4 linked regions of the Rhinolophus ferrumequinum genome follow. The protein of the gene in region 1 purifies or fractionates together with the protein of each later gene. This does not show direct contact. Links are inferred from orthologs where the notes say so. Each region holds a gene or a part of one and is shown on either strand. Other genes may lie near its edges.

Region 1 (6,996 bases):
TCTTCCCAACCCTTGAAGCTACCCCTCAGAGAGAAGCCGCAGACCATAAGCCTCTTCCGAAAAAGAGGTAAGGGGAGGTAGACAAAGGGCAGTGGAGGAGACTGGCTATTGTATTCTGTAGAAGGAGCACAACAGCTACTTTTTACCTGCTGAGTCAGATGAACCTGTCCATGGGGGCGGAGACCAGCTTATGAGAAAGGGCAAGGACTGAGGAGGTATTTATTTGTTGGTTTTCAAGTCTAAATTTAGAGCTGTCTGTCTGCAGACCCATTAGCGGATTTGTCTGGGGTACTTTCGGCATCGGGAAGAGAAAAGAAACGAGGAGACTTTTCGGCAGCAAAGGAAAGGCCTGTCTAGGCCTCCTCCCTTCCGTGTTATCCCTAACAGAAAACGATAGAGCCACATGGCTTCCGCAGTCTGGGGAAGTGCCCCTTGGTGGGGCCCGCCGCCACCAGCCCCAGCCCGCCCGCTCACGGACATCGACTTCTGCTCTGGGGCACAGCTGCAGGAACTAACCCAGCTTATCCAGGAGCTGGGTGTGCAGGAGAGCTGGAGTGACGGGCCCAACCCGGGACCAGACCTCCTTCGGGCCAAGAACTTTGTTTTCTCTTTGCTTGGTAAGTAACCCTCCCTGCCTTCAGAAACTCTCAGCTCTCAGCCCCGCCCTGGCTTTGGGTAATGCCTTCGTGATCCCTTCTCTTCCCGTAGGTCTTGTTCACCGCCGGGACCCCCGCTTTCCTCCCCAAGCGGAGCTCTTGCTGCTTCGTGGCGGGATTCGCGAGGGCTCCCTGGATCTGGGGCCTGCACCCCTAGGTCCCTACGCTAGGGGACCTCACTACGACGCCGGCTTCACACTCTTGGTGCCCGTGTTTTCTGTAGACGGCACTGGGCAGGAGCTGCAACTGGACGTGGAATCCTGTTATGCCTGGCTCTGCCTCCCAGAACTGATGCACGGAATCTCTGTCCGAGAGGCTTGGCAGGATTGCCTAGGACCACCAGTCCCAGGAGGACGTGATTCCATGCACCGAACAGAAAGCGAAGAAAGCCCCAAGGACCAGCAAAGCTCCGTGCACCCGCCACACAGTTATGTCACTGAGCCTGAGCCTCTTGTGTCTTCTTTGGAAAAATCACCTAGTAACGGTTCGGGGCCCGAGTCGCCTCTGCAAGACGTAACCGATCCTGGCTTCCCCGCACCGCTGAAAAAAATGAATGGTGACGTCACCAAAGCAGCAGTGGATAGTCCAGTCCCACAGCCGTCGGAGGCTCTGGAGGCGTGGCCCACATTGTGCCCTGCCAAGGTGGCTGCATGGTTCTTTGCTATGCTGGCCGAGGTCGCGGAGTCCCTGTACCCGGTCCCGGGTGCCCCGCGCTTGGTCCACGCAGCCCGCCACGCGGGGTTCACCACCATTCTCCTGGCTACGCCAGGGCCTCCACGCCACCTCCTACTTTTCGACCTGATCCCCGTGGTGTCTGTGGCTGGCTGGCCGGAGAGGGCTCGGAGTCACTCGTGGGCCGGCCCGCTGGCCTCCGAGCCCTCCTCCTTCTACCTGGTGCCCAGCGGCCGCATAGATCGGCGGGGCGCTTCTGGCTGGCAGCTGTGCTTCGCCCGCCAGGAGCTGGCGCTCAAGGCGCGCATACCCGCTCCGCTACTGCAAGCGCACGCAGCTGCCCAGGCGCTGCTGCGCCCGCTGGTGGCGGGGACCCGGGCCGCGGCGCCCTACCTCCTGCGGACGTTGCTCTACTGGGCTTGCGAGCGACTGCCTGCCCTCTATCTGGCGCGGCCCGAGAATGCGGGCGCCTGCTGTCTCGGGCTGCTGGATGAGCTGAGCCGTGTGCTGGAGGCTGGGACACTGCCCCACTATTTTCTGAGCGGCCAAAAGCTCTGTGCGGGGGACGGTCCAGCAGCGCTGCTCTTAGCATTGGCTCGGCTTCGTGGGGACCCTGTCCGGGCCTTGTGCGCTGCGGTGGAGGAGGCTAAGGCTGCGCGCAAGGGGGGCGGCTTGGCTGGCGTGGGAGGTGGGGCCCATTAAAGACTAGTCCTACCAGGGTGGAAAGTGCTTCTGTTAGCTAGCAGAATGTGGAGCGGACTGCGCGCCCCTTGCTTGGGAGACTAAGAATCCTGGACGCAAAGATACCCTTCTAGAAGGCCTCCTGGCCCGTCATACTACCCTTTTCCCGCCTCAACCCTGTTACAGGTCATCCCATTCTGGCTTTTCCACTCTCCAAATCTGTGACCAGTATCCCTCGCATCCTGGTGCAGCCTCTAGCAACCATCTTCCCCCAATTCTTGTGGTCTTTTCTTTCAGGAGTCAATAGGGATGGAGGAGGGGGTATATTTACTGACGAAACGTGGAAAGGAGAAGTATGGAGACCAGAGACAGACCAATTTGGCTCACACAAAAGCAGAAATATTAAGGAGGCTGGGTTTCACCCCAGGCTAGATCTCGGGTCCCCCACTCTCATCTCTTCAGTTATTTCCCCCGCTGTCTTCATTTAGTTCTGTCCTCCCATCCCAGGCAGTAGGGTCCCTTTTGCCCCCTTGGGGTGTCTGCCATTCCATCTATCTTAAGCCCATCTCTCCCCCCATCCAGCCATTCCATTCAGTGGTCACCACCTTGTCCCTTCTCTGAACCCCGAGACGTGCGGCTTTGCCTTGGTTCCGCCTGCCTCTTTGACTGTCCCCACTCCCTGCCTCCAAGGAACCCCGGGGTTCTGCTCGCCCATCTTCACCCCCCTTTCCCTGCGTCTCCGCCCCCTGCCCCGCCTCCCGGCCTGCTCTCCAAAAAGGGGGAGTTGCGGTAGTCGCCGCCGCCTCAGCTTCCCACAATCGCTGCCGCTGCCGCTGCCGCCGCTGTGCTTGATCCAGCAACCAGGCCCAGTGCTCTGACTGCGGGACCAGGGCTCTCTGCGAGACACCCTCACTCTTCTTTTGGAGTCCGGGGCGCGGAGCCGGGTGTGGGGGGAAGCTCCGTTTGCGGGGGACAGGGAAGGAGGAGCCTGGAACCGGAGCCAGCGCTACCCGTTGCCGGATCAACAAGACAGGACAGATTGAGGGGCGTCGGCAAGAGAGAGGGGTGCTACAGGCAGTCGCCCGGAAGATGAGGAAGCCCTGTCGCAGAAAGCTCTGATACGCTCTGACTTGTAGGGGGCCTATTCACATTTGAGGATTGGTGACAACGTGGGTGTACTCTTTTCTTAAGGGCCTTGTTAGATTGGAGGGCGTGGGATCTAAACAGTACCAGCTGTCCCTGAGGAAATTAAGGGACAGCCAGAAAAACACCTGGCTGCTCCTTATTTGGAGGTGACAGAGGGCCCTCCAGACAACCACCTGGTGTATCCACTAGGAAGGGTGGATTTGGAGGTGACTTCAAAAGGAGTAGAGGGTAACAAGGTGAGGAAAGAGACTCAGCAACTGGAACCCTGTGCCGCTAGAAATGGGGATGACTTGGTGAAAAAAGGTATTGTCCAGAAACAGAGTCTGGGAACCCCTTCTCACTGAATGGGGACAGCCTGGATATTCTAAGACACAATTTGGGGGGTATTAGAGTGAAAAAATGTGGGAGACCCTCTTCACTTAGAGGGTGGCAAAGACACCAAGATTGGGTTCTTCCCTGACATTGTCAAGGCCCCAGTAGGGGTGGGTGAGCTAATATCCTCAAAGCTAAGGACCCACACCCACTTTAGATTACAGGAGTGAATACAGGAGCCCCAAAATAGGGTGGGAAGGTACCTGGGGATATTGGAACCACATTTTGGAAATTTTGGGGGTCTTGGTTTTGGGATGGGGAAGTGGGGACAGAAATAACTGGAAAGAACGGGAAGGCAGAGTTTTCTGTAGGGGGTAAAAGTCGAGGGTGGGGTAAACTGAGAGGTACATAGGCTGTTGGGTCCAGTGGAGCTAGCAAGGGGGCCCAAGGGTGGAAGCTGGCGGCTGGGAGTGGGGGTGGTCTGAGGCTTGTCCTCAGATCCTGTGGGTGGGGCGCTGAGTCTTGGGAAAGCGTCAAGACCATGCCGTGGTAAGCGGGCTTCTCTGGGGGAGCACAGTGTGCTCCGAGCGCCTGCCGGTTTGGGGGTGTCTCCTCCCGGGGCGCCATGGCGGCGCTGGCCAGCAGCCTGATCCGGCAGAAGCGGGAGGTCCGCGAGCCTGGGGGCAGCCGGCCCGTGTCCGCGCAGCGGCGCGTGTGTCCCCGCGGCACCAAGTCCCTTTGCCAGAAACAGCTCCTTATCCTGCTATCCAAGGTGCGACTGTGTGGGAGACGGCCCGCGCGGCCGGACCGCGGCCTGGGTGAGTGGCTGGGGCGGGGTCTCCGGGACTGGGGTTTCCGCCTGGGAGGTTGAGGTGAGGGGCTCTGAAGAGTGGGGCCCGACTCAAGGGGGCTCCCGGAAAGTGAAAGGGGATGGGCCAGGGCAACAAAGTCTCTGCCAGTCTATGCCTCAGTTTCCCTTACGTTTTGCCCATAACCCCGAGTCTCCTTGATTTCGAATGCAAAGGGAAGGCTTGAGGGCTAAGTCTGGGGCCCCAAGCCTCGCAGCTCCGGTTCGCGCCCCCCACCCACCACAGGGTCCCCACCCCCATCGTCCTTTGCCTACGTGCGGGCTCTCGCGATTCTTTCAATCCCGAGCCGAGGGGCCTGGGGGTTCCGGACGCTTGGGTCACCCCGAGGGTTTCTGCGGCTACGGCAGCCCCGACCCCGCCCCAGTTCTCCCGCTCCTCCACGCCTTGGCTCGGTTACTCCTGGCGGAGCTTGCCTGGCTCGGCGCCAACCCCCCCAGCTCTCCCGCGGGTGTCCTTGCAGCTACCTCGCCAGCCCGCCCCTCTTGTGCGCCCTCCTCCCGTGACCTGAGCTTCAAGAGGGGAGCTGGGCACCCCCTCCGTTACCCTCCACGCGACTCCGAAATCAGGTCCCACGAGCTCAGGGGACCCTCTGCTGCGAGGAACTCAGACAGTGCAAGGCTGGTGGGAGACCTGCACTGAGACTGGGGGGTCGTACCACCTACAAGGGGGTACAGGGAAGTCGGCCGAGAGCAAGCGACCGGGAAGGGGAGTTGTGAAGGTTTGCGTGTGATCCCCGTCCAGGTACGACAGGCAGAGAGTCCCTCTGGCCCAGCTCCCAACTTCCCTAGGGGTAGCCCCCTTGCGCCCTCCGCCCCCCGCAGCGGGCCCGCCACAGTGGTATGGCCCACAGCCCACCCTTTGAGTGGAACCGGGCCCCCACGTGACTCAGCCTGCCCGCCATCTCCCCCGCCCCTCCCCCCATTTCCTTGATTTGGTACCGAATGTCCCCCACCCCAGGAGGTTACCTGCCAGAAGGGGAGAGGCTGAACCTCAGGAAGGGCTGGGCCCCCGAGCCAGCAGACTGACAGACAGACTGACAGATGGGTCAGTGTCAGACAGGCCGGCGCTGGGCCAAGGCGAGGCCCGCGCCAACCGAGCCGCAGCCGCAGCAGCAGGTGCTGAGTCAGCGTCAGGCCCAGTCCCACCCCCACTCTTGAGGGGACGCCCCTACCCTCTGGTCACCTTGCTGGCCCCCACATTCACAAACACACTGCCCTTTCAGCAGCCCTGCCTGTTCTCCCTGTGTCCTCTGCCTTTTCATGGATCTCTCCTCTTCCTCTTCCCCTTCTCTGCCCTCCCCCACTTCTGGTTGAGCTGTAGAGTAGGAATTAATCCATTTAAATAAATTTAAATAAATTAGAAAGCTGGTGGTTAGAGGAAGCAGAAGGGACCCACACCCCAGCTTCCTCAGGAGTCAAAAAGAGGTGAGAGAGAGTTTGCTTGGAAGGTCAGAGAGGTGGGGCCCAGGGACTCTATTCTTTCCCTCCACTCTCTTTCCTCTGATCCCATCAAGTGTAGGACTGTTTCTGGGACCAGAGATGTCATTTCCAAAGATTAATCTCTCTCTCTCTCTCTCCAGAGCCTCAGCTCAAAGGCATCGTCACAAAACTGTTCTGCCGCCAGGGTTTCTACCTCCAGGCAAATCCCGATGGGAGCATCCAGGGCACCCCAGAGGACACCAGCTCTTTCAGTGAGAGGGGAAGCCAGCAGCTGGGTGGGAAGGGGGAGAGGGGTTAGATGACAAATCCTATTCTTGCTTCAGGTTCTGTTATTTTCAGTTTGGCTTTTTAAGTTCCAAGGGAGGAAGTGGAGCTGGGATGGGGGGAGCTCAGATGGGTGTTCAAGGCCTAGGGCACTGACACTCCCTCTCTCCACCCCCAGCCCACTTCAATCTGATCCCCGTGGGGCTCCGTGTGGTCACCATCCAGAGTGCCAAGCTGGGTCACTACATGGCCATGAATGCCGAGGGGCTGCTCTACAGCTCGGTGAGATAATGAAGCAGAGTGGCCTCGGCTTTGGGGACTGCCCCAGCTACAACTTTCTCAACTACAGATATTTTGCAGCTCAGGAATCCTCCTCCAGCTCTTGCTGTTGTCCTGTCATTACTGCCCACTCCAGAGTACCTCCTCTAGGGTCCCTCTAATCCTTACTCTTCATGCAGCCTTCCAGACGCCCCCAGGCTCTTTGAATGTCCAACTCTCTCCAACTCTTTTCATCCGTTTAGGGTTCCCATTTCTCATCCTACCTCCTCCAGAGTTGTGATTACTCACTTCCCCAGAGTCATTTAGGATAGGGGATGGTGAGAGGTTGGGAATAGAGTGGAGAGAAGGTATCTTCTTACTCTAGGACCCCAAATGTCTGGTTCCTAACCCTCAGGGGCCTACAAGACTCTTCCTTTTCCTCCTTTTCTCTCAATTCCTGCATGGACTCAGAAGTTGGCCCTCCAGCCTGAAATGTATGGATTATATCCTGGCTTGTTCTTCTCAGGGCTCCCTTCTGTCCAGTGATGTGTCTATTTGTCTCTCTGTCTGTGTTTGCCTTTCTGGGTCTTTGTCTCCTCAGCCACATTTCACAGCTGAGTGTCGCTTTAAGGAGTGCGTCTTTGAGAATTACTATGTCCTGTATGCCTCTGCACTCTACCGTCAGCGCCGTTCTGGCCG
Region 2 (7,540 bases), on another chromosome or scaffold:
AGAATCTCAGTATTTGACGGACATCCATTCTTCCCCAAAGAAAACAAAATTTCACCAGTTACACTGGAAACTGATCTGAGGACTGTCAAAGTCACCCTGAAGTAACCTATACCCTCTGACTGGCACCAGAAATGTCCTCAATTCCCAAGGGGCCTCAGGGCTTCGTATGCTCCAGGAATTAATTGGTCTAGAGAGCCATACCAGAATCCTCACAGGTGAAGGACAGCACCATTTGAAGAGGCCTTTTTCTCACATGCCAAGCTACATTTTTTCTCTTACTTTCCTCATGCTTTCTCACAGTATTAACGCATGGCACAGGTACAAAAGTGACTTAGGTCAACATATCCGATTCAGCCAAAGTTCTGAAAAAATGGATCGCCTAGAACTTGCTGCTATATGACCTTGATTAGTCCTCGACCAACTCATCAACTAAATAAATGCCTTTTATCATCATTGGGGAAGGGTAATTAGTCATCATAAAGCACTTTAATACAAAGTGCTGTGTAAATGCTAAACAATAAAAGCTCAGAAAGAGCAAGATTAATAAGAAACACGGGGACACATTTACCAGCAAATGGAAATTTACACGGGGTCTTCCCCAATTCCTAGCAGAGACTGCTTCTGTCAGCTAATGGAATGAATCTCTAAAATCATTAGCACTTGGCCTGACAATAATACATTAGCAATATTCCTCCTGGGAAGAAAAGAGGAAAAAGGATTATTTATTCCTGGTAGGCAGCCATACAGACGTCTTAATTGCTAGTTAGCCAGGCGGGCACTTATTTGAGTACCTACTGGATGCTAGGTACAGACAGTTAGGCACACTGCATACAATGGTGAACCAGAGTCCCTGCCTTGACGGAGTTTACAATCTACAATACAAACTTCGTCTTATTAATAGCAGCATTTCCAAAAATAAAGGTTTACTAAAATAAAGGCAAGTACGAATAAAGGTGCCTAATCCCTGAAGCAACCAAAGGAGGGACAGGCTAACGGGGAAGAGGAAGAGTTCAGGGAGTTAGGGTACCAGCGATTTCCCAGGTCTTTTCCCTAACTCATCACAGGCACTGCCCTTAAGCATTCTGCTTATAAAGGCTGTGTCTGTGTCTCCATATAATGCAGATCGCAAAGGGTTACTGCCCAACAAAGCAGTCAGCTGAACTGAGAGCACTAAAAATAAGCTTAATCAGGCTCCTTAGAATCAAGGGTTTTTCTACCACCCTTTTAAAGGCATTCTACTAGTAAGATCTCAATTTCGTGAGAAAATGGAGTTAAACCACAGAATCGTGACTTGTCTTCTCGATCCTGCATTTGATTTCTGGAGAGGTGGATTAATTTCCTTAAAAAAAGTTCTGTCTCCCATTTAGGACAGCTTAACTAGTTCAGATGAAGGAGCCTTAAGGATTGTTAACCATTCCTGCAAACCTGGCTTTGTTCCTGGCTTATACAAGCACTGTATCCATCAAACGCTGTAGGCAGGGACAGCCTTGAAACACTTTTTATCCAAGAGGGAAATATTTATCCAGGTTCTCACTGGTTTCAGAAAGGTCACCTCTCTGCGAAGGTTCTCTGGTGTACTGTTAAGTGGATGCCAGGTATGTGGAAAGTCAAGATGTGGTTGGCAGCAAATGCTCAGAAAGCACCAGGAATCCTAATTCCACCATTCTGAGAGCTCGTTAGACTGAAAGCTCCAAAGGTTGCCATTTAATCTTCCACGCACGACAAGAGAATGAGAAGGGCGTCCTTTGAGCTCAACCCACAGTACAATAGAGGAAACTTGTTCTGCCTCAATAAGTGCAGGCAAGAATGAGCAATCGCTCCATACCACCCACCCGTCCAACCCACCCTAGCTCCCTCCTCAAGGAAAGCCCAAGTGGTCTATTCACGACTCTGCGATCAACCTGTATCCATGACAGTGTCTCCCGTCACCAACCTCCACATACTAATTTTTTACGGGTGTCGAAGCAACTGGATGACTGTAGGTGAAAAATCACAGTTTTCTTTTCAATCTCATGATGCCCTCATTGCTTTCCCCTGCATAACAGAGCTAGCTCCACGCATTTTTCCCGCTTGTCTCCAGGCTAGCACGCAGTTGTTGGATAAACCGGCCACTGCTTGCAAAGATTTGCCTACAGAAGCTTTACCAGATTTACCCACTCATTTGAAAGGAGATTTTCTGTACACCCCCATCCCCTGGGGCTGGCAACAAGGGTCAACTGAGTTGGTCCGCCCCCTCCGACTCCCGTCTTCGAGGCCCTTCACCCCAGAAAAGTCACGGACAAATTTAAGGCCCAGCCCTGTCAGGTTTCAAAAAGATCCCGAAGGACTGGGGCCGAGGGACAAAGGAAAGTGAGGTCAGGGGCGGCCTCTCCAGCTCGGGATAGGCCTGGGGCCGCTCACCCGCCACCTCTACCCCATCTCAGTCGTCCCCGATCCCCTCGCCCCAAAAGTCGCGAACTAGCTGGAGCCCGGGGCTCGCTCGCGCCCCTTCCGCGAGGCCCCAGTCCGGGCCCCCGCCGCCACCCAGAACCCCCGCACCTTCTTGGGCGCCTTGGTGACGGTGGCCATGAAGGAGTACTTCTCGGCGTCCTCAATCTCCTTGGCCTGCTTCAGCTCCTCCCCGACCCCGGGCAGCGGCATCGCGTCAGGCATCGACATCCCCCGGCCGGCCGGGCCCGCGGCTGATCCGCCGCCCCCGCCTCTTTCCCTCTCGGGCGTCCGCCCACCCGCCCGCGCGGAGCACTCCGACACGCGCTCGCCCACCCTCCCGCCCGGCTCCACGCTGAGCCGCGTCCGGTGCCGAGGTGCTGGGGCCGGCGCCTCGTCCGCTCCGCCGCCCGAGACAGCCGGACAGCGCGGCGGCGACAGGAGCCCCAAAAGCAGCAACGCCGAGCTCCGACCAGCCCGCGCAGCCACCTCCGCCGCACGCACACACGCACGCAAAGTAAGGGTAGAGGGTGGTGACGCCACGTCAAGTACTGGCAGCTCCGGGGCGGGGAAATGGGCGGGGAGAAACGGCGCTGGGTCATGACGTCACCACGCAGGACTGGGCCCCTGGAGCCACCCCTCCTACTTCCCAGCTCGCGGGTGAAGCTGCCAGAGTGAGTGGGCTCCGGGGCGCCGCCAGGTGGCGCCATCAGCCCTGTGAGCGGCGCGTGGTTCCTGCAGGGATGCCGCAGAACTGGGGAGACTGGGCTGTGGGGTTCCCCGCAAGGCCTCAGAACGGCGTAAGGGGGTGCTTGGGATCAAAGACCAGAGCTCCACACGACACATCCTGCAGCCAGTCCTAGGAAACAACGGGGCCTAAGACAGCCCACTCACTCACTGCCTCCGACCCAAGCCCTTTAGACCAGAAGCCCCTTCCCAAGGGGCAGTGTTTGCCTCTGACTCCGTAAGAGTGGGCAGAACAGACTCAGAGCAATGTGGTTTCTGCACAACCTTTTGTGACCTCCTCCACCGCTGTCTTCGCTGGGCCTTGCCTGTTTACAGACCTCTAGGCCACAGAGCTGATGTTATCTGGCCATTGGGATAGGGCTAATGGATCAGAGGGGTGGAGAGCAGGAGGGGGGAGGGGGCAGTTTCCAGACTGAAAGGCTTTCCTGCTTCGCGCCTCCCTCCCTCCCCGCCCCCCATTAGATTCGGTCAGCTACCAGTGTGGCACCCAGGGCGTTCATGGACCATTCACATGTTTTTATTGGGCCCTACTACGTTCTGTCTTTGTTCTAGGCCCTGGATAGTAAAGATCCGCGTGATACATTTTATGTTTTGCAAGGCTTAGTCCAGCTGGAGAGGCAAAGCATATCTGTAACCTAATGTCACCTAAGGTAGCGTGTCCTTGGAGATTCAGATGACATTGTCTTGAACTCCCACGTCCTGTGGAAAGTCCAATGCCCTCCCCAGGATTTCAGTGTATTACTGGGGGAACTTTGATTTTCCTGGTTACCTCCGGCTCTAGTTTTCTGCCTCATGCGAAGTGTTATTCAGTGTTCTGGTCTGGTGGCTGTTTCTTTAGTTCCTGCGGTCAATTCACATAGGGAACACAGCCCTGTTCTTTCCAACCCCCACCCCCTATTCCAAAACAACCACACAAATAATGCTATAACATGTAGTAGAACTTTTAATGAAAATTTGTTGGCCACAGGGGAGAGATTACATCATACAGCAAACAATTTAAAATCACATTTCTGAAATGTTCTGAAAAGTTATTTTGGCTATATCGTCACCTGGGATTTCTCGTTGGCGACACCACCCCACAAAGCTCCCCAGGCCATTGTGTCTAATCTAGCTTCCTCCTGCTACTCCCTTCCCATCCTCCGCCTCATCTCCCTTCCTGGATTGACTCTGGGAAGCCTGATTCTTTGCTCTGTGATGAGTATTCGAGTCTTCCCAGCTCTCTTTTCCTAAATTACCACCCCACCCCACCCCGCAGTCCACCTTTTTATATCTAGAAACCCACTCGCTATCTGACAGGGTCAACTCTTTCAAGAAAGAAGTTGTGGTTTTCAACACTGGTTTATTTTCAAGGTTGGGAAGAGTGTGAAATACTTGCCTCTGGGGCCCCAGAAGTCTTAGTCACAGAAGCCCATGTTCCAACCACCCAGCCCCGCCCGTGAGGCTGTCTGTTTAAAAGTGGACGATGGAAGCTACTGGAAAGATGCACACTTCTGCAAATCCTGATCTTTACTGTTAGGAGTCTCTCATCTGCCCACTCTTCGAAGCCCCTCGTCTCCTCTCTCAAAGACATTCCTGTAGCAGAAGGGACAGAAAGTTGGGGGGGGTCGGAATACCAGATTGATTCAGAGGTGCCACTGGTACCTACCTCTTCGTCTCCCAGCTGGAACCAGGAGTCCCCCTGCCCACCCAGGATGCTTTGGGTGTACAGCGTGAAGTAGGTTTCATCCTGTGTGTCTGCCCAAACTGTCATCGGATCCCAGGAACCAGAGCTGCCTGCTCAGAGAGCAGAGGCAGAGCCAGTTGGAACAGAGGTCAAACTCCACATCTTTCGAATAGGAAAACACGTGGCTTAAGTTAGCTTGTTTTAAAACATAAAAGAAAAGCATACATGTGTCTGTCCTTTGGATTTGATTTTCTAAACTCCCGTTGTCCAAGAGCTTAGTCTCTGCCCTGCATGTTAGCATTCAAACTATGAGATTCCTCGAGACTGAAGTTCAGCCTCTCTTTTACTCCTCAACCAAAGTAACAGGTTTCCCGTAAGAGCAGGCTCACAGAATTGACTGTTGCTGAGGATGGTAAAGACAGGGCCCTGCCTAGAGGAAGAAATACCTCTGCGGTTGGAGCCAAGAAGGAGATCAACAGGTCCAACTCCACTTACCTGAATGCCTGGCCCACGGGAGGCTGGGAAGGCTGACTTAGGGAAATTGGAAGTGCTTCGGCTGGAAGGCAGGCTTACACTGCCCTGGTGGAAAGGCAGCAGGGGCCAGCGCCAAGGGCATTCCTGGAAACCAGCCTGCTGTAGAGGACATGGATGCTTGCCATTCCCGGTACCGTCAGTGGACTGGAGATCAAAGAGCTCACCCAGCCCGAGAGTGTGATGACATATCAGTGAGAAACACTGTGTGTTGCCCCCACTCCTAGATGGCCCCACATGGCCCCGCTAAGGGGGTTGCCTCTCATGGATGACGAGAGCTGCCTGTCTTCAACACCACCCGCCTCCCCCCCACCGCCCCACATCTACCTGGTGACTCAGCACCTGTGAAATGGGTCAGGAAGGTGTGTCAGGGCTCACTGTCCTGAACAGCATAACCCTCACACAGATCAGAGAAGAGACCAGGGGCCAGTGTTTGAGGAGCGCAGGGACCAAGGAGCGGTGTACTTGTGTGTGGTGGGGGCCAGGCCTCTAAGTGGCCTCTAAATGGCCTAAAGGACTAGAGGGGACCCTGCTCTAGAAAGGAGTAGAAATGACTTGGAAGACATTCTTATCAGAAATGTGGTGGCACTGGGGTACCACATGTGGGCTTGGTCTGGTTTATCAAATTCAACCCCCAAAATCACCTTCCACATTCATTCATTTTTTTTTTTTAATTCATAAAATATACATCAAATGCTGATGATATGCCAGGAGCAGCACTAGATCTTGGACTACAGGGACAAATGAAGTCCTGAGCTCTACCTGGGGACCAAGGGTAGGGGTGGGGGTTGAAGGGATGAGCAAGAAAGGCTTTGTAGAGGGAGACCTGCTTGACCTGAACTCTTGACAGGTAAGCAGCTGGACAAGGTAAGGAAGGGATTCTAGGCTGAAGGACTAGCATGACAAAAAGCAGGACAATGAAACAGCTTGACGTATTACGGGAACTAAATATTTCAGTGTGGGTGGGGCACAGGGTGCAAAGTAGGGCAGAACAAGGGCTGAGGCCAAAGCCAGGTCCTGCAGAGCTTGGTGAACCACGGGTAGACAGTGGTGATGTCCACCAGGATGGGGAAAGCGGGAGGAGAAGCAGGTCAGGGTGCAGGGGCTGCTGAGATAAGGAGCCAGCTTAAGGCATGTTGACTTTGAAATGTTTGTGGAGTTCACTGTCCCCAAGTCCCAGGGGAGCCTAGGTTGGCACCTCTCCCACCCATCTGCTCCCCGCCAGGCTGGCATTCCTCAAGAGTAAGGCCGTACTCTCCCTGTAGCTCCTTCACCTCCTGTGGCCAGGTCCCCCTTTAGTCCTCTAAAATGAAAAGTGCAGAAAGATTGCTGGAGATCTTGGGTGACCATAGAAGTAAGGAAACAGGTAAATGGCTCTACATCCATCCAGCGGATGCCCTCCCATGTTCTTTCTGTCCCAGAACCACCACACGGCACACTCTGGGTGGCACCATTGACATTGTCATTGAGGTGAAGGGTGCCCCTCGAGCAAGATTCCAGATTGCCAGTCTGCCCTGCTGCTCCCCAGGGGCTCCCAGCGCGGGGTCCTCAGGCATGCCTGGTTCCTCCTTCCCCAGCTCCTTGGTTCCCCTCTTCCAGCTTCCCTGCCTCCCCTCTCTGCAATTCCAGCTCTTTGGAGAAGATGAGCAGTCCCCCAGAGGCCAAGAAAGACTCCTTCTCTACCTCCTTTGCTTACTATGACATTTATTATTTATTGTGCTATTTATCATTATTTCAAACATAATCTTTATCGGAAAAGAAAGCCTGTGAAGATAAAAATCTCTTTATATATCTCTAAGTTCACTTCTGATTCCTGTTAATTTGCAGGTGTTCACTTTTACATACCTGTGATCAGCATGTCGTTTGTGTTCTGCTTTGATCAAATTGCGATATTTCAAAGTGCATTATTGTTTACATACCTGTCGTCAGCATTTCCTAAGTGCTCCATCATATTGCCATAGGAATTTTCTCAATTGTTTTTTTTTTATTGTGGGGCATTTGAGTTGTTTCTAACTTAATGCAATATAAATACAGTGTGTATCAGGGTAGGCGTCACAGTGGGAGGGGCTTTCAAGCCAAACAGACAAGGTTGGATCACAGCCCCAGGTCCTGCCAGAGAGAAGGAGCAAAAATGTAAATAATGGGGCCAACTGTCTTGGCTATAAAAAGGGC
Region 3 (7,745 bases), on another chromosome or scaffold:
AACAACAGATCTTTTTAATGGTTACATAATGTGCCACAGCACGTGTGCACCATAATTTGATCAACAGGTTTACTATTGAAGATATCTGGATTGTTTCTTGACTTTTTCCCAGTAATATTAATGCCATAATAAACATTCTTGTATTCATATCCTACATATTCGCATTTTCATTTCTTTAAGATAAATGGGATTTTGGATTGAAATGTATATGTATATTTATAATTTTAATAAATATTTTCAGATTACTTTCCCACGCTATGACAGCAATGTATGAGAGTGTAAGTTTCCCTGTATCCTGGTGAGAGATGGTAACAATAAAATTTGTTTTGTTTTTGCCTATTTGAGGAATGAAAAATAGTACCTCATTGTTTTACTTGCATATCCCTGACTAGTAAATTAGAACACATTTAAAATTTTTATGGTGTCAAATATATATATTTTAAATGGCTCCTATCTTATTTAAGAAGCTTTCTTGATAAAAAGTTACATAATATACTAAAATGTCTTATATTTCTATTGTATTTTTTCATTTAGATCTTTAATCTACCTGGAATTTATTTTTATATCTAGTGTGAAGTAAGACCTGTATTTATATTTTTCCACATTAATAACCAGTTATGCCAATACCACTTTTTTTAGTACATAAAGTTGATACTAACTTCTCCATTAATTGTAGTCACATAAGACTGATACCAAAGCTATAAGGCCAATTTATTTGTTTACATAAACAGAGATTTCAAGTCAGCCAGAATATTAATGTTGGCTCTTTGACCATTTTCTCCCCAGTGGGTAATTCTACATGGGAAACTAAATTACTGTTGAAGGCTGCTCAGGGGGATTAGGTCTAGAAAACAAATTAAAAATTTTAGGGACTAGTGTCTGAGTCTGTGACAGCCTTTGATATAATAAAATATAAACACTTTGTCCACTCTTCCTGATACAGAACTCCTAATACTCTTGGAATTTCCTTAATGATAAGAAGGTCTTTTATTCTTTTCACCACTCCTGAGTTTATGCTAGTGAGGTAGCTTAGGGTGGGGTCCCCAGAAAGCCTCAAGATGAGGCCAGAAACCAGAAAGACCACGTGATTAGAAGGGGGAACTTTTAGCCCCACTCCCAACCTCCAGGGAAAGGGGCAGGTACACTGGAGACTGAACTCTATAGAAACTCTTAACAAAGAGATTCAGAGCTTCTGAATTGGTGAACACATCCATGTACTGGGAGGGTGATAAGCCCCAACTTCATGGGGACAGAAGTGCAAGACCTTTCTGGACCTTGTCCTGTGTACCTCTTCATCTCTGCCTGTTCGTTTGTATCCGTTGGAAGGATACAGAAAATACATTTACTTTGTAAATGTAAGTCATGTATCTTCCTGAGTTCTGTGAGCCATTCTAGGCAATTACTGAACTTTAGAAGGATGTCATGGGAACTCCCAGTTTCTATGCACTTCATCAGAAGTACAGGTGGTCTGGGACTTATTGGCATCTGAGGTGGGGTAGCCCTGTGAGACTTAGCCCCTAAACTGTGAGGTCTTCACTAACTCCAGGTAGTGTTAGTGTCAGAATTGAGTTGAATTGTTGAATACACAATTGGTGTCTGGACAATCAGAGACTTGGTTGTTGGTGTTGGAAAACACCTCACAGTCCAATGTTATGTCACCTTGTCAAACAGAGTATCAGAAACATGTCATATGTTTTACTAACTTTCTCACCTGAACTGTGCTGAGAACAAAGTGAATTTCCCTGTTTCGCTTCTTTCTTTTTTTTTTTAGGATCTATGCCAATAATTCTTTTCCTATATGGAAACCTTCACTTAGATTCTTCATTTATTCCATTCAATAAATACACATATATGTGCCAGTTATTCCACTAGAGAGCTAATGATACAGAGTTGAACCAGATGAACAAAATTCCTGCTGTAGTTGGGGGAGGAAGTCAACAAAACACAGAGAAAAATAAGTTAAGGACTAAAATAGGGGAATGTGCTTTATAATGTACTGAATAGGGAGGACAGAGGCATAGGCAAAAAAAGTATGACAAATACATGGCAGGCATGTATGTATTTTAAATGCTTCCAGAGTTATTTTGTACATATATAAGCAAATACATACATATATACATGTATACACATATGGTCTTCCTTCCACACTCCCCCTTTTATTTTTTTCACAAATAGCACTACACTATATACACTATTCTACATATTGCACTGTGCAGCTTGGAGATCATTCCATACAAGAACTTAAAGAGTGTCCTCATTTCAAAAAAAAATGGCTTAATAATATGAAAAGCTCAATTTAGAGTATATTAATGCTAAAAATATTTACAAGGCTTAGGCCAGATTCATGGAAGATTTTAAAAAAACTGAATATGAACTTGTAATAAAATAAAATAATCGGTCTTTCTGACTCCATCTTGCTCGTGCCTGACGTGTTAGTTAGCAACTTCTGCTTAGTCCTGCATGTAGATATGCTAGTCATCTAACCTGTAGCCTAGAACTTACTGAAACAACCTTCCTGCTTGAAACTACCTCCCTAAGGAGATAAGGAAGGTATGTACAAAAATATTGTTTATCAAAATTTTTATAGGAATCTTGTGACTAAGATCACGGCAACCAGAGTTTGAAGTTTCATCATCCCCCTTGGACCCTTGCTGACCTCCAGATGTCTGAGCTCATCAGTCACATCCTGACCTCAAACCCCTCCTGTTCCCCCTTTCCCCTGACATAAAAGAAACCTGCATTCTCTATCTTCTCAAGAGAAACCTTTAGGACTCTAGTCCACTATCTGCTCGGCTTTCTGAATAAAGTCGTTTCCCTTGCCCCAACGCCTTATCACTTGACTTACTGGCTGTCCTGTGGTGGTACGAGCTTTCACTCCATTACAAATTTGCAAGCTTTAGGCACAAAGAATGACTTGAATTTCAGGCAACTAGTTCTCAACTACTGGTAGACCAGAAGTCTAATTACGTTTGTTTTATAATACAATTTCTATCTCTCATTTATTCTACTTGCCATGAGTACCCCATTTCTGACATTTCAGCACATTAGTGATCATATAGCATTTCATAAACACCAGCAAGTATCTTTGATAATATATATATATGTGTACACACACACACAAATATATATATAAGTAAAAGAATGTCCATAAGCTTACAAACGTCTATCTCAGAAAAGCTGGGAATTTTGTTTCTATTTTGATGGGATACTGCCTCTCAACATTTCATATATTACAACCCACCAATGTGGTTGAGAATCAATATATAAAATATCTTGTAGGATAAGATAGACAAAGTGGAGAGACAACAGGGCCAAGTACGTCAGCCAGGAAGGATGAGGTGCCTGTGTAATTAGGAATTGGAAAGAGTATAGGAGGGAAGGAAGAACAGGATTTGGTACTGATTGTATAGAGGGCATCAATCCGAAGGAACACTTCTAAGATGATTCCAAGGCTTCCAGGAAGAAAGAGATCACTTTCAGAAATGAAAAGAAGTGACCAGTTGTAAGGGGAGATTCCTAACTTAATTTGAGGTACAAAGACTTTAGATGGGACCTCAGAGATACATTTCCAACATTGTAATTTTTTTTTTTAAGAATGAAGAAACAGCAAGTTGTTTGCCTAAGTTCGCACAAGTTAATAGGCGTGGCAGGCAGGACCCACATTACGCTTAAGGGATGGTTTACTGTAAGCTCGGAGAGGTCCTGTAAACGGATAGAAACCCAGTGCGCGAGAGGCAGATACCCTACCAAACACTGACTCCAAACCTGCCAAATTTTATTACATGGGTCCCTAGTGAAAGCTAGATACGGAGTGACAGAGTCCTGGAATTTCAGGGAAAGTGGAAAATAGAGAGGCAACAAGTAGGGAAAGAACTATTTTCTAAACTACCATGTACCCGTCATTTTACATCTGGCTATCTCATTTAATTCTCACCACAACAGTATTACCATTTTTTAGCGATGAAACCAAGCTAGAAGGGAAGAATCTCCAATTGCAACCGAAACCCAGATGTGTATAGGGGCCAAGTCATGCTCATCCCGCACTCTCCTTATGCTGCCTCACCTGACCCAATACACTCATTTTAACGAAGCCCGCTCAAGGGAACACCCACACATTTGTCAAAGGAGTTGTGTGTGTGTGTGTGTGTGACACATACCATTGGGGATTTTACAACTTACACTACACTACAAGTGGAGAGTAGGGGGAGAAGCCATCAGCTAAGAGGAGAAGCAAGGAGAGAGAGGAGCTGTCAGAATGGTGTGAGGAGTGAACTGTGTCCTTCTGCTTCTACTCATACCCCTAACAAGGAGACTATCCAACACACTTGAGGGAGCTAAACCTTGGCCAGCTTCATTCCTTATTGCCTCTCAGGAACTACGATTTAACCCTTAATCTAGAACAAGCGAGGTGAGCACTTCAGACAGAAGTGGAAACCCGCAGTGTGAACCAAAATTTGAGCCGTGCCAGCGGCAGTGACTTCAGGACGGTTTGAAAGACAAGTTGAGAAACGGGCGAGTTTGGCTGCATCACGCGCCTGAAGCCAAGCGGTGGGGCCGCAGCAGCTCCTGCGGCTTTTCCTCTCGGCCCACGCCGCCTCCGCCCGCCACGTGACCCACCGTGTTGTGGTGAGGCCCGCGTGGGTGGCGGGAGCCGCGGGAGGGCGGAGGCGGCGAGAGGTGGGTCACGTGACAGCGTTTAAATCTCCCGCAGCCGGAGCCGCGGGGGCGCCACTGCCGCGAGTCGAGCGAGAGCAGAGGAGGTGAGGAAGGAGGGCCAGAGAGGCAGTTGGAAGATGGCGGACGAGGCGGCGCTCGCCCTTCAGCCCGGTGGCTCCCCTTCGGCGGTGGCGGCCGAGAGGGAGGCCGCGTCGCCGCCCGCCGGGGAGCCGCTTCGCAAGAGGCCGCGGAGAGACGGCCCCGGCCTCGGGCGGAGCCCGGGCGAGCCCGATGGGGCGGCCCCAGAGCGTGAGGTACTGGCGGCGGCCGGGGGCGGCCCGGCGGCGGCGGCGGCGCTGTGGCGGGAGGCGGCGGCGGCGACGGCGGGCGGGGAGCGGGAGGCCCAGGCGGCGGCGGCGGGCGGAGGAGACAATGGGCCGGGCCTACAGGGCCTATCCCTGGAACCACCGCCGGCCGATGATTTCGACGACGACGACGACGAGGGCGAGGAGGAAGAAGAGGCGGCGGCGATTGGGTACCGAGGTGCGCAGGGCGCGGGCGGCTGGGACTGCGCATTCCCTCCTCCCTCTCCCGGGGCCCCTCCTGGTGTGGGGTGGAGGGGTCTCGGGTGGGCAAGGGCTCAGGGCTGATTCTGCCGCGACCCTCTCCTTACCACGGCCCTCAGCTGCGCGCCTCCGGGGCTGCCGGCCTGGTTGCAGGAGCGGCCTGCGGACTCGCTCGCTCCCTCCCTCCCGTCCGTCCCTTAGTCCGCGGCCCGCCTTAGCGGCCTCGCGCTTTGCGCAGCCGCCGGGCGGGGAAGCTCTCGCAGGTTTTAAAATAAGTTTCTTTCCCCTCCTACTTTTTTAGCATATTGCTTTTATTTAACATCATTCCCACCCTTCATCCCAGCCCCCAGCACTCCTAAATCTGCAACTTTTGCTTATCCCTTGCACCGACTTTTTGCAGTTGTCTTTGCAAATTGACACCTGTGCAATTTGTGACTTTTTGGGGGGAGGGTCTTTATTTTTAAATTAGTCTTGAAATTGGAAGAGCAAAGCTATTTCTAATGTAATAGCCTCCAAATTTTGAAGAGCTTAGCTGTTTCTAAAGACATTACTCTTGTGGTGCAATTAATAGTGGACGTAGAAGAGTGACAGTACTTTGAATAGTATTTTTCCTCTAATCATGTTCTTAAAATAGTTTTAGGATTAGGTATAATCCTTTATTGTGTGTATATGTAACCCTGAAATACGACTGACATATTTTGGCATACTAAAGCAGATGTGTTAGTTGTATATGTCATGTCATCTTTGAGGATTTCATATTTTCGATGTGAGGAGTTTCTGTCCTGGATAGATGTGCTCTTCATCATTTGTATCAGTAAATTTAATCAATGGACCATTGGACTGTATTTAAAGGTAACATGCATTAGAGACTTGATTAATAAGAAGACCTCATTCAAGAAACAGTCGAATAGGGAAAATGAATAATGCAAAGTTATCTTTGTATGTTTAGTATTTTATAAGAGAAGTGCAGATTGCCCTAGTTACTTGGAACAAATTTTTTTGGTTTTTATTTGACAAGTTTCATGAGCTCTATTATTTGTGATTGATAAATTCAGTCTAACTAGATTAGTACTTCTTGTGTTTTGATTAAGTAAACTTATGTCTAGATTTTTGTGTGAACTGAAACTTTTAGATTGTGGGCAGAATCCCTAAAGATGAGGATATATACTGTGCCTATGAACGGTGCAAGCAGACCTAGTAGGCATTCTTTACACAGGCAATATGAATGTTAAGTGCTTCATTCATTGAAAATTGTTGCATCATAACCACTGTAGATCTTCATATATTTTAGATGCAGACTGTTTCAGTAGCTTTGAGTTACTTTTGGTTTCTTTTGTAGATAACCTTCTGTTTGGTGATGAAATAATCACCAATGGTTTTCATTCCTGTGAAAGTGATGAGGATGATAGAGCCTCACATGCAAGCTCTAGTGATTGGACTCCAAGGCCACGGATAGGTATGGTTCCACAGCTTTTAGAAAGTAAATGTCTTTTTCTTTGTTTTAATTTTAACGCCAACTAAAAATATAATTCTCTGCCCCCTTATAACCTAGTTATTAGGTTCCTTAGGTGCTTGCTGGATTTAATGTCAGCTTATTTTTCTAGGGAAAGTCTAGTGCTTTGTTTTTATTTTTAAACAGCTCAGGCCCATGGAAACTGGCCTCTGGTATTTCTCAAACAACCAGGTCCTTCTCACAACTTGGGTCCTTGGGTCCTCTTCGCTGGTACTCAGTGTGGAATGCTCTTCCTCTAGAGTATCTTGCTTCCTCACTTCCTATCCATTCTTCATTTTTTTCTTAACACATCATCACTTCTCAAGCTTTGTATCTTAACTTTTTTATTGTGTTTCATATACTAAAATATACTCGGAAACCAGTTGGGGGCAGGGATTTTTGACTGATTTGTGTACTATTTTGTTAGTACCTAGGTAAGTGCCTGGCACATAATTTGTGTTCAGTGAATCCGTATTAAGTATGTGGATAAAATGGGAAAGTATTTTGAAATAGAGAACACTATTCAGATTTTTATTACCAGTTATAACATGACCATCTTGAAAGTGATCTTTCTCTTAATGTGCTCTCATTCTTGACTATTTAAATATAGTGATGGATAGTTCCTTTTTAGGATCCATAATATTTACTATATTTTTGGTTTTTTTCAAGCTAGGATACTGATTTAAGAAATGCCAGGCGAAAAAATATTAATGCTCAAAACCAGCACTGTGTGTATCATTTTGGGAGATTGATTAAGATCAAATTGAAGATTATTACTGGAAAAATTTTAAAAGATAGTAGTTATGTATAGATTTATTTTAGGTAGATATTTAGATATCCTTTTCTTTTTCCCTATGTCTTTAATGATAAACAGTATGGGATTTCGGGACTGGTAAGATCTATCCTATATTGATTTGGAGAACCCTTTTGTACATATTCGTGTTATTAATTACAGTGTGTATTTCTGGATTTTAATGATTGAAATTTAATTCTGGCAATTAGTTTGACTCCTAAAATACATAGCTTGAGGG
Region 4 (6,875 bases), about 40 Mb from region 1:
TCGCCACCTCCTGGAGAAAGAAGGGACCTATGGTTCCCTGAGCAACTGGAGCCTTCTGTCCAGTAGAAAGAAAGATCATGAGAGCCCGTGTGGGATTTTTCAATTTTCTAGTAGCCACATCAAAAAAAGCTGAAAGAAACAGGTGAACTTGACTTTAGTAATATGTTTTATTTAACCTAATAGATACATATATAATATTGCCATTTCAACGAGTAATCAATATAAAATTATTAATGAGATATTTCTTTTTTTTTCTTGTTTTTGCACAGAGTCTTCAAAATTCAGGGTGTATTTTATACTTATAGCACGTGTCAATTCAGACCAGCCACATTTCAGTGCTCAAGAGGCACATATAGTTAGGGGCTGAAGACTAAGGAGAGAACAACAGTGTGTGTATGTGTGTGGGGGGGTGTATGTGTGTGTGATGAGTGTGAGTGGATGTGTGAGGTGAGTGTGCACATATAGGGTGTGTTTCCATATCTAAAAAATTGGAGAGCTGGGGACTTGAGGAAAGATGGAGGTGTCCCAGACACTTGATGCATTGAGGGCCACTGGGAGAGTTGAGCTTGTTTTGCTCAATCATTCAACAAGAATCTCTTGAGCACCTACTGTGAGTCAGACCTGTGCTGGCTGCTGAGATACAAAGATGAAGAAGACACATCCCTGTCCTCAAAGTTCATGGTCCCATGGGACAGACAGGAGTACAAAAATGGTTGTATAGAGAGTAAGAGACACGACCATACAGGTATTACCAGGTAAAAGGGGGAAGTGGGGCACTTGGAAGACTTGATAGCTAAGAAGGCCCACGCCAGCTCTTGTAAGGGGAACAGGAGATCTTTAGGGGAAAGCAGGTGTTGAAGCAGCAGAGGAATAAAAAGTTCCAGGCAGAGATGGCAAATAAGTGAAAAGGCACAAAGGCACCAAAGAGTTGGGATCCTTAAGTAAGCAGCTGAGGCCAGAGTATGGGGCATGTGTGTTGCGGTGGAAGATGGGTAGAGGGAATCAATTCATGAAGGGCCACGTGTGTCACTCTCTGGTGGACCATGAGAGCCGCTGAAGCATACTGAGATATTAAGCCGACCTTATTGCTTATCACTTATTGCTCAACTTTTTACTGTTGCCCCCGGCACAAAGTGTTTTCCCTAGTGGATTGCAACCATTCCTCAGAGTCAGGAGTGAGAATGGCCACGGGCTGGCCTGTCCTGACCCTGGCTGTAATGCAAGGTCACCTTGGGCAAGTCCTAGGGCATCGAGGCAAGGAGGGGTGAGGCTCCAGGAGCAAGGATTGCCCCTTTATCTCCAAAAGCCCACAGCTTGAGCAACCCACAGCTGGAACCTCAGGCAGAGGCATTTCCCCAGCCAGACACTGAGGGTGTGGGAGGGCTCCCTAGAGTAGCGCCCCTCCCACCCCTCCTTGGCAGCCAAAGCCCCCAAGAGCTGAAGGCACCCTAGAACCCCCAAACACCAGCTCCAGGGTGGGAGGAGTTCTCTGGGCCCATAGGGATTTGTTCATACAGGGAGGCCTGGAGAGGCCAAGCAGGCTGGGGCTCCCCTAGGGGGCAGTGTGCACACTTTGTGGGTCTGGAGAGGTGGCTCAGTGGCTGATTAAGATAGGGACGAGACAGGGCCTGCTTCTCTGAGATCAGTTCACTTTGCTGCCAGCTCTGCTGCCTCCCGCACCCCACCACTTCCTTAACAAGGGGAGTGGCCAGGCTGCCTCAGTTTCTGGCAGGCATGTTTGTAAATAAGCAAATTCTCCTGAGGAGTATCTCTGGTCCCCAAGAATGGCTGGGTGTTGGGGCCATGAAAGGAAGGGTTTTTCTCTATTGGGGAATGAAGTAGTGTGTTTTTTTTTCTTTTCATCCAACAATTACGAAAACAAAAACTAAGCAGATGCTCCCATCTGGGCTCTACTCTCCAGCCTGGGTGTGCAGAGACTGCGGCTGGGGGCTTGGGGTCTGGAAGTCAAGGCTCAAACCATGCCCGGAGTATCTCAGGTCTGAAGGAGGCCACTGAAGGACACCATGAGGCGGGGAGTGAGGTACTGAGCCTCTCTCTCCGAAAGGGCTCAGATGAAGCTCAAACTCGGGGCAACAGAAAGGGCTTAGAAATAGCATGGGCAGCTCCGTGGTGTATGGGGGAGGGGATAAGAAATTGACCAAATGGGGGAACAGGAATCTCAGGCCTTTGACACCACCAATATGGTACATTATTGAGCACCAACACTGTGGCAGACACTGAACTAGGTACCAGGGTTACACACATAAATGTGACATAACCCACATATGTGCTCAAAAGGTGTTTAGTAGAGGAGAGATTGGCATTTGAAATCAAGGACTCTTACCTACAGCCTAGCAGGTTCCTGTTGGGGTGGGGGACAGCACAGTGTGGCATGATGCTTCACGGAAGGGACGGCTCATACTTCCTCCCTCGCAGGCAGGTAATCTATGTAAAGCACTTAGTGTGGTAGCTGGCATTAAGTTGCAGCTCAATAAACGGAGGCTATTATTAGCCATTATTACAAGAAGCTGCAGAATAAACATGGCACATCTTCCTGGAGCGTCAATTTTACCCAACTATTAGGGAGGAAAGGGCATTCTTTTTATAACAAGCACAGGCAGAAGCTGAAATAGAATGCAAAACTCACTTGGATTTTTGACATCAAAGATTTAGGACCTGCATTGCCCTGCCCCTTTAGCCTATTTGCACACCTCCATCCCCTGGCGGACACAGCAACTAGAAAAGCCCCTGCATGTGGGTTTAGGAAATCTGGGTTCCAATTTGGATCTGCCAGTTACTACCTTCTGACCTTAGGCACTGAATTAGTATAATTACTTTTTATATTTTAAAATGGCAATATAAAGCAGACCATAATAGTTCTGCCAATCTAGAATTTTAGTCCAGACAGGAGTGGGGGTGGGTTGAAATATTATAATAATGGTTAAGCTTTATTGAGAGAACTGTATGCCAGGCACTGTTGTATTTCATTTAATTCTCCCAAACACCTGATGAGACAAGTAGTGCTATTATCACCCCTATTATACAGATGAGAACATTAAGGTGAAAAGAAGTTTATCACTTGTGTACCTTTATAAGATTAGTAAGTGGCAGTGCCAAAAATTGGAATCCACGGCTCCCACTCTTAACTGTCTGGCTATCTTACCTCTTGCCATGTATATCCAGCCTCATGGAGCTTTGAACTCATCTAGATGGGTTTAAAGGCAAATTGGAGGGGCCGCTAATACCTGCTGCTCTTTCTGATCATTCTCTGAGCCTCCTTTATTAACCGCTTGACGGATCCCTAAGGGGTCATGATCTTCCAAGCTTTGCACGGAATTTCCTAATACAATATACTTAGATACACTGGACATACCTATTACAGCCTTGCTTACAAGCTGAATTGGAGTCGCTTTTTAGCAATTTAATGTGTATATGTTTTGTCTCTCCAACTAGGTTGTATACGCCTAGAGGACAAGGCCTGTGTGCCTTGCTCTTTCTGTATCCCTCCCGTGCCTAGGGCTTAGGCAACAGACGCCAGGGGAACTCGTTAAATGTTGTTGACAGTCTCGGGACCATCCTCCGCCCCACGTCGGCCACTCCCATTTTCCTCGGTGACCACCCCACTTCCTCTCCCTCGGTCCCCACCCCTTCCCGCCCCCTTTACTTTTATCCCCCCCAGGCCCCACCCCTCTCTCGTGGAGTCCATCCTTTAACATCCCCCCACCACGGCAACATCTCCAGCGTCCCCTAGCGACGAGGCGGTAACTCCTAGCAACCGCATCTCAGTTCCCTGACGACGGCGGCACGTAGGGGCACGTCAGCACGCCGTGGCCCCGCCCCCAGCGCCGGCTGGCCCCGCCTCCCCGAGCCTTGGCCGCCGCTGCCGCTGCCACTGCCGCCGCCGCCGCCCGAGAGACTCGCGCAGAGCAGTTATGGCGGATCCCGCAGCGCCCTCAACCGCAGCTCCGGCTCCCGCCCAGGCCCCGGCCGCGGTTCCGGAGGCGGCCCCGGCCTCGGACGCAGCCCCCGCCCCGGCCCCGGCGCCCGCCCCGGACTCGGCCTCCGGGCCGTCCTCGGACTCCGGCCCCGAAGCCGGCTCACAGCGCCTCCTGTTCTCTCACGACCTGGTATCGGGCCGTTACCGCGGCTCCGTGCACTTCGGGCTGGTGCGCCTCATCCACGGCGAGGACTCGGACTCGGAGGGCGAGGAGGAGGGCCGCGGGAGCTCGGGCTGCTCTGAGGCGGGGGGCGCGGGCCACGAGGAGGGCCGGGCCAGCCCGCTGCGCCGCGGCTACGTGCGCGTCCAGTGGTACCCGGAGGGCGTCAAGCAGCACGTGAAGGAGACCAAGGTGCGGCGGGCCGGCCGGGGCCGGGGCTGGCGGAGGGTCCGGTACCTGCTGGACCCCTAGGCGGGGAGGGGAGGCGTGCGAGGCGCTGCCGGGAGTGGTGCAACTGCAGTGGGCCGAGGTGGGAGGACGAGCCTCAGCCGAGGGGACGCTCCGGTGCAAAGTCATTGCACCAGCCCTGGGCCACCGGGCCCCAGGCTTCCCCACACGAAGGGACTTCCAAGCTCGACTGTGGTGTGGTGTGGGCCTCAAGGTTATGTACGTGGACCCACTACCGTGGGGAACTCCTCGGGCTCTGAGGCACGCTGGGCATTATTACACCAGTGCGGCGTTTTGCTGACCCCCGAGGAGCTACATACTGCATTGTGCACCCAGAAAGGAGGGCCTTGCCGGGTCGGTGCAGGGAGGGGGTGTGGGCATCCCAAAACATAGAGGTGAGCATCTCCGCCGACACAAAAACCCGAGAAGTTCACTAGATTGCAGAATGCGTTATTATGGGTGAAGAAACCCAGTCCCTTTTTGTTTTACCTTGTTGTCTCATGTTCATTGCTGCGGGAAACTTTATGAGTGAAATCACTAACGATCAAAGCCTTGATATTAATAGTACTGGGGCAGGGGGATGTGACAGCTGCGACTGGGATTGGTGACTTCTAAGTGCAGTCGGAATTCCTGAAAAAGCTTACAACCATGGATGGAGGAGAGCCACCCATTGGAAACCTGAAGGGTTTTTCTTGACCGGAGCTGTGAAGCAAACATCAGACTCGCAGATGGTATTGGGGTGAGGCTGGTGAATATTGAAACCAAGGGTTTTATCGTCAGAAACCTGAAACCTTGAAGCAAGGTTGGTTTGGTGGCTCTCCATGTCTTGTTTGCCTGAGTGTGAATTCCTATCAGTGATTCACACGCACACACAAGCCTGTATCTTTCACCCTTTCTGCACCTCCTCCCCCTTCTCCCCTTCAAGAAAACATTTCTAAACGGGAATCAGGCCTGAGCTGTTTTGCTGCCTGGGATTGAGAGGTCTGATCTCCGGGAGGGCACTTCAGAAATTAATCTGGGTTACTCACATACTGAGACAAAAGCAGCAGAGGAATAAGCCTTCATGCCACACTACAGAGGGGGTCCGTGATGAGGCCTTGGGCGTGGAAGAGAGCCCCACTTCCAGGAAGCGCCTGTGATCTGTTTCCTAGTGGTAGAAGTGACGGCTGGTACCAGCAGGGTCTTTTTCCTCGCCAGTGCGCATGCATCCAGACCCAAATCTGCACACAGGACACCTGGTTTCCCCTCAGAGAAATGCAAATCAGGCGATAGCTTCTCTGACTGGAAGAGAAAATGATCAGTTCATGTGCAAAAGTACGTGGAAAATACTACTTTTTGCAGCAAAGTACTGGTTAAAAATTACCACCAGTATGATTAAGTCGGGAAGAGAAGATTGTTGCTCTATACACTGTGTCTGTACATTGTCTCACTAGCAAACAGTTGCTAGTGCCTTTCCATGGGTTTTTAAAAATGTTTTTCCCTAACCACCTTCTCTAGAGGTTTGTGACTTCTGGAATGTAGCTCATTTGCCTCTGTCATGATGGCCTCCTGCCCTGGCGCTCAGGGAAGCGTGCCCAGCTCACCACTGGGAGCTGCCATGTTTATCAGTTGTTGTTCCTGCACATCTTGACTTTGGTGGTTAACTTTGTTTATGGTTATGTTCCCTCTGCCTCCCCCGACCATGTGTAATTATATGCTTAAAGTACCTATTTTGGAATTAAATAGAAAATAGCTTTGAGGCACCAGCTTGGATGTATTTTGAAGTTGCCTTCTTGCGACTTGCTTTGAATTTGCTGAAATCCATTGTGACTCCAGTGGTGGTGTTTTCTTTTGCCATTGCAGTTTCTGGAGCTTCTGGGCTTAGCAAAAGCTCAGGAGCGTTGGAATTCCAGGAAGTGGTGGCGTATAGTGCTCATTTATGGATGGCAAGACCCAGTTGCCTTTTAGGACTTGAGAATAGGTTTGTTTGGGCGTAGGGGAGAGTTTCTACTTGACAGGTAGCTCTCATCATCCTGTGCCGTAGGCACAGATGAAGTGATCCAGGTCGGCTGAACATATGCTTTGCTCCTGGCTACCAACTGGGTCCTGGGACCTTGCAGCACTGGTTTAGGAAGATTTTCCTTCTCACCTCCCATTCCTTATAAATCCATGGCGGTAGCAGCATGTTTATAGAGGAAAGACTGTAAGACCGAGACAGAGCACTTAGGCTCTGACTTCTCCTCCATCACTAACCTGGTTATGAGACTTGAGAACCCAGTTGTTGGTAGAGTAATGTGGTGACAGTCTTGACAAACTTTTTTTTAAGCTGCTGCCAATTGGAATTTTTTTAATAGTGTTTTTTTTAATGTGGAGTGAGCTGTGGAGTATTTTTGTAGTTTTCATGTTAATTTAGTGGACAGTAAGTAAAGGCTTGATGTTAGTCTCTTAATTTCTTTTACATTCTTAATGCACAACTTCAAAGAGAGATGAAGAGGCTGGCCACCAAGTCCT

What was found.
Region 2: the proteins of FGF11 (region 1) and AHCYL1 purify together in Homo sapiens (affinity purification with mass spectrometry; 3 studies listed by BioGRID and IntAct, with this or other methods). This does not show direct contact. The link is inferred for Rhinolophus ferrumequinum from reciprocal best matches to the Homo sapiens genes FGF11 and AHCYL1.
Region 3: the proteins of FGF11 (region 1) and SIRT1 purify together in Homo sapiens (affinity purification with mass spectrometry; 3 studies listed by BioGRID and IntAct, with this or other methods). This does not show direct contact. The link is inferred for Rhinolophus ferrumequinum from reciprocal best matches to the Homo sapiens genes FGF11 and SIRT1.
Region 4: the proteins of FGF11 (region 1) and UBE2O purify together in Homo sapiens (affinity purification with mass spectrometry; 3 studies listed by BioGRID and IntAct, with this or other methods). This does not show direct contact. The link is inferred for Rhinolophus ferrumequinum from reciprocal best matches to the Homo sapiens genes FGF11 and UBE2O.

Annotation. Positions count from the first base shown.
Region 1 is NC_046304.1:11,433,999-11,440,994, reverse strand, and holds the start of FGF11 (fibroblast growth factor 11), read left to right. Parts: upstream 1-3,985; 5' UTR 3,986-4,092; coding exon 4,093-4,285; intron 4,286-5,915; coding exon 5,916-6,026; intron 6,027-6,217; coding exon 6,218-6,321; intron 6,322-6,898; coding exon 6,899-6,996. Other genes in the region: TMEM102 (transmembrane protein 102), read left to right, coding at 404-617, 709-2,030.
Region 2 is NC_046305.1:41,996,854-42,004,393, reverse strand, and holds the start of AHCYL1 (S-adenosylhomocysteine hydrolase-like protein 1), read right to left. Parts: upstream 3,017-7,540; 5' UTR 2,659-3,016; coding exon 2,539-2,658; intron 1-2,538. UniProt on the Homo sapiens protein: Multifaceted cellular regulator which coordinates several essential cellular functions including regulation of epithelial HCO3(-) and fluid secretion, mRNA processing and DNA replication.
Region 3 is NC_046299.1:46,617,930-46,625,674, forward strand, and holds the start of SIRT1 (NAD-dependent protein deacetylase sirtuin-1), read left to right. Parts: upstream 1-4,733; 5' UTR 4,734-4,793; coding exon 4,794-5,199; intron 5,200-5,329; exon of another isoform or gene 5,330-5,425; intron 5,426-6,561; coding exon 6,562-6,678; intron 6,679-7,745. UniProt on the Homo sapiens protein: NAD-dependent protein deacetylase that links transcriptional regulation directly to intracellular energetics and participates in the coordination of several separated cellular functions such as cell cycle, response to DNA damage, metabolism, apoptosis and autophagy.
Region 4 is NC_046304.1:51,120,788-51,127,662, reverse strand, and holds the start of UBE2O ((E3-independent) E2 ubiquitin-conjugating enzyme), read left to right. Parts: upstream 1-3,862; 5' UTR 3,863-3,932; coding exon 3,933-4,349; intron 4,350-6,875. UniProt on the Homo sapiens protein: E2/E3 hybrid ubiquitin-protein ligase that displays both E2 and E3 ligase activities and mediates monoubiquitination of target proteins. Negatively regulates TRAF6-mediated NF-kappa-B activation independently of its E2 activity.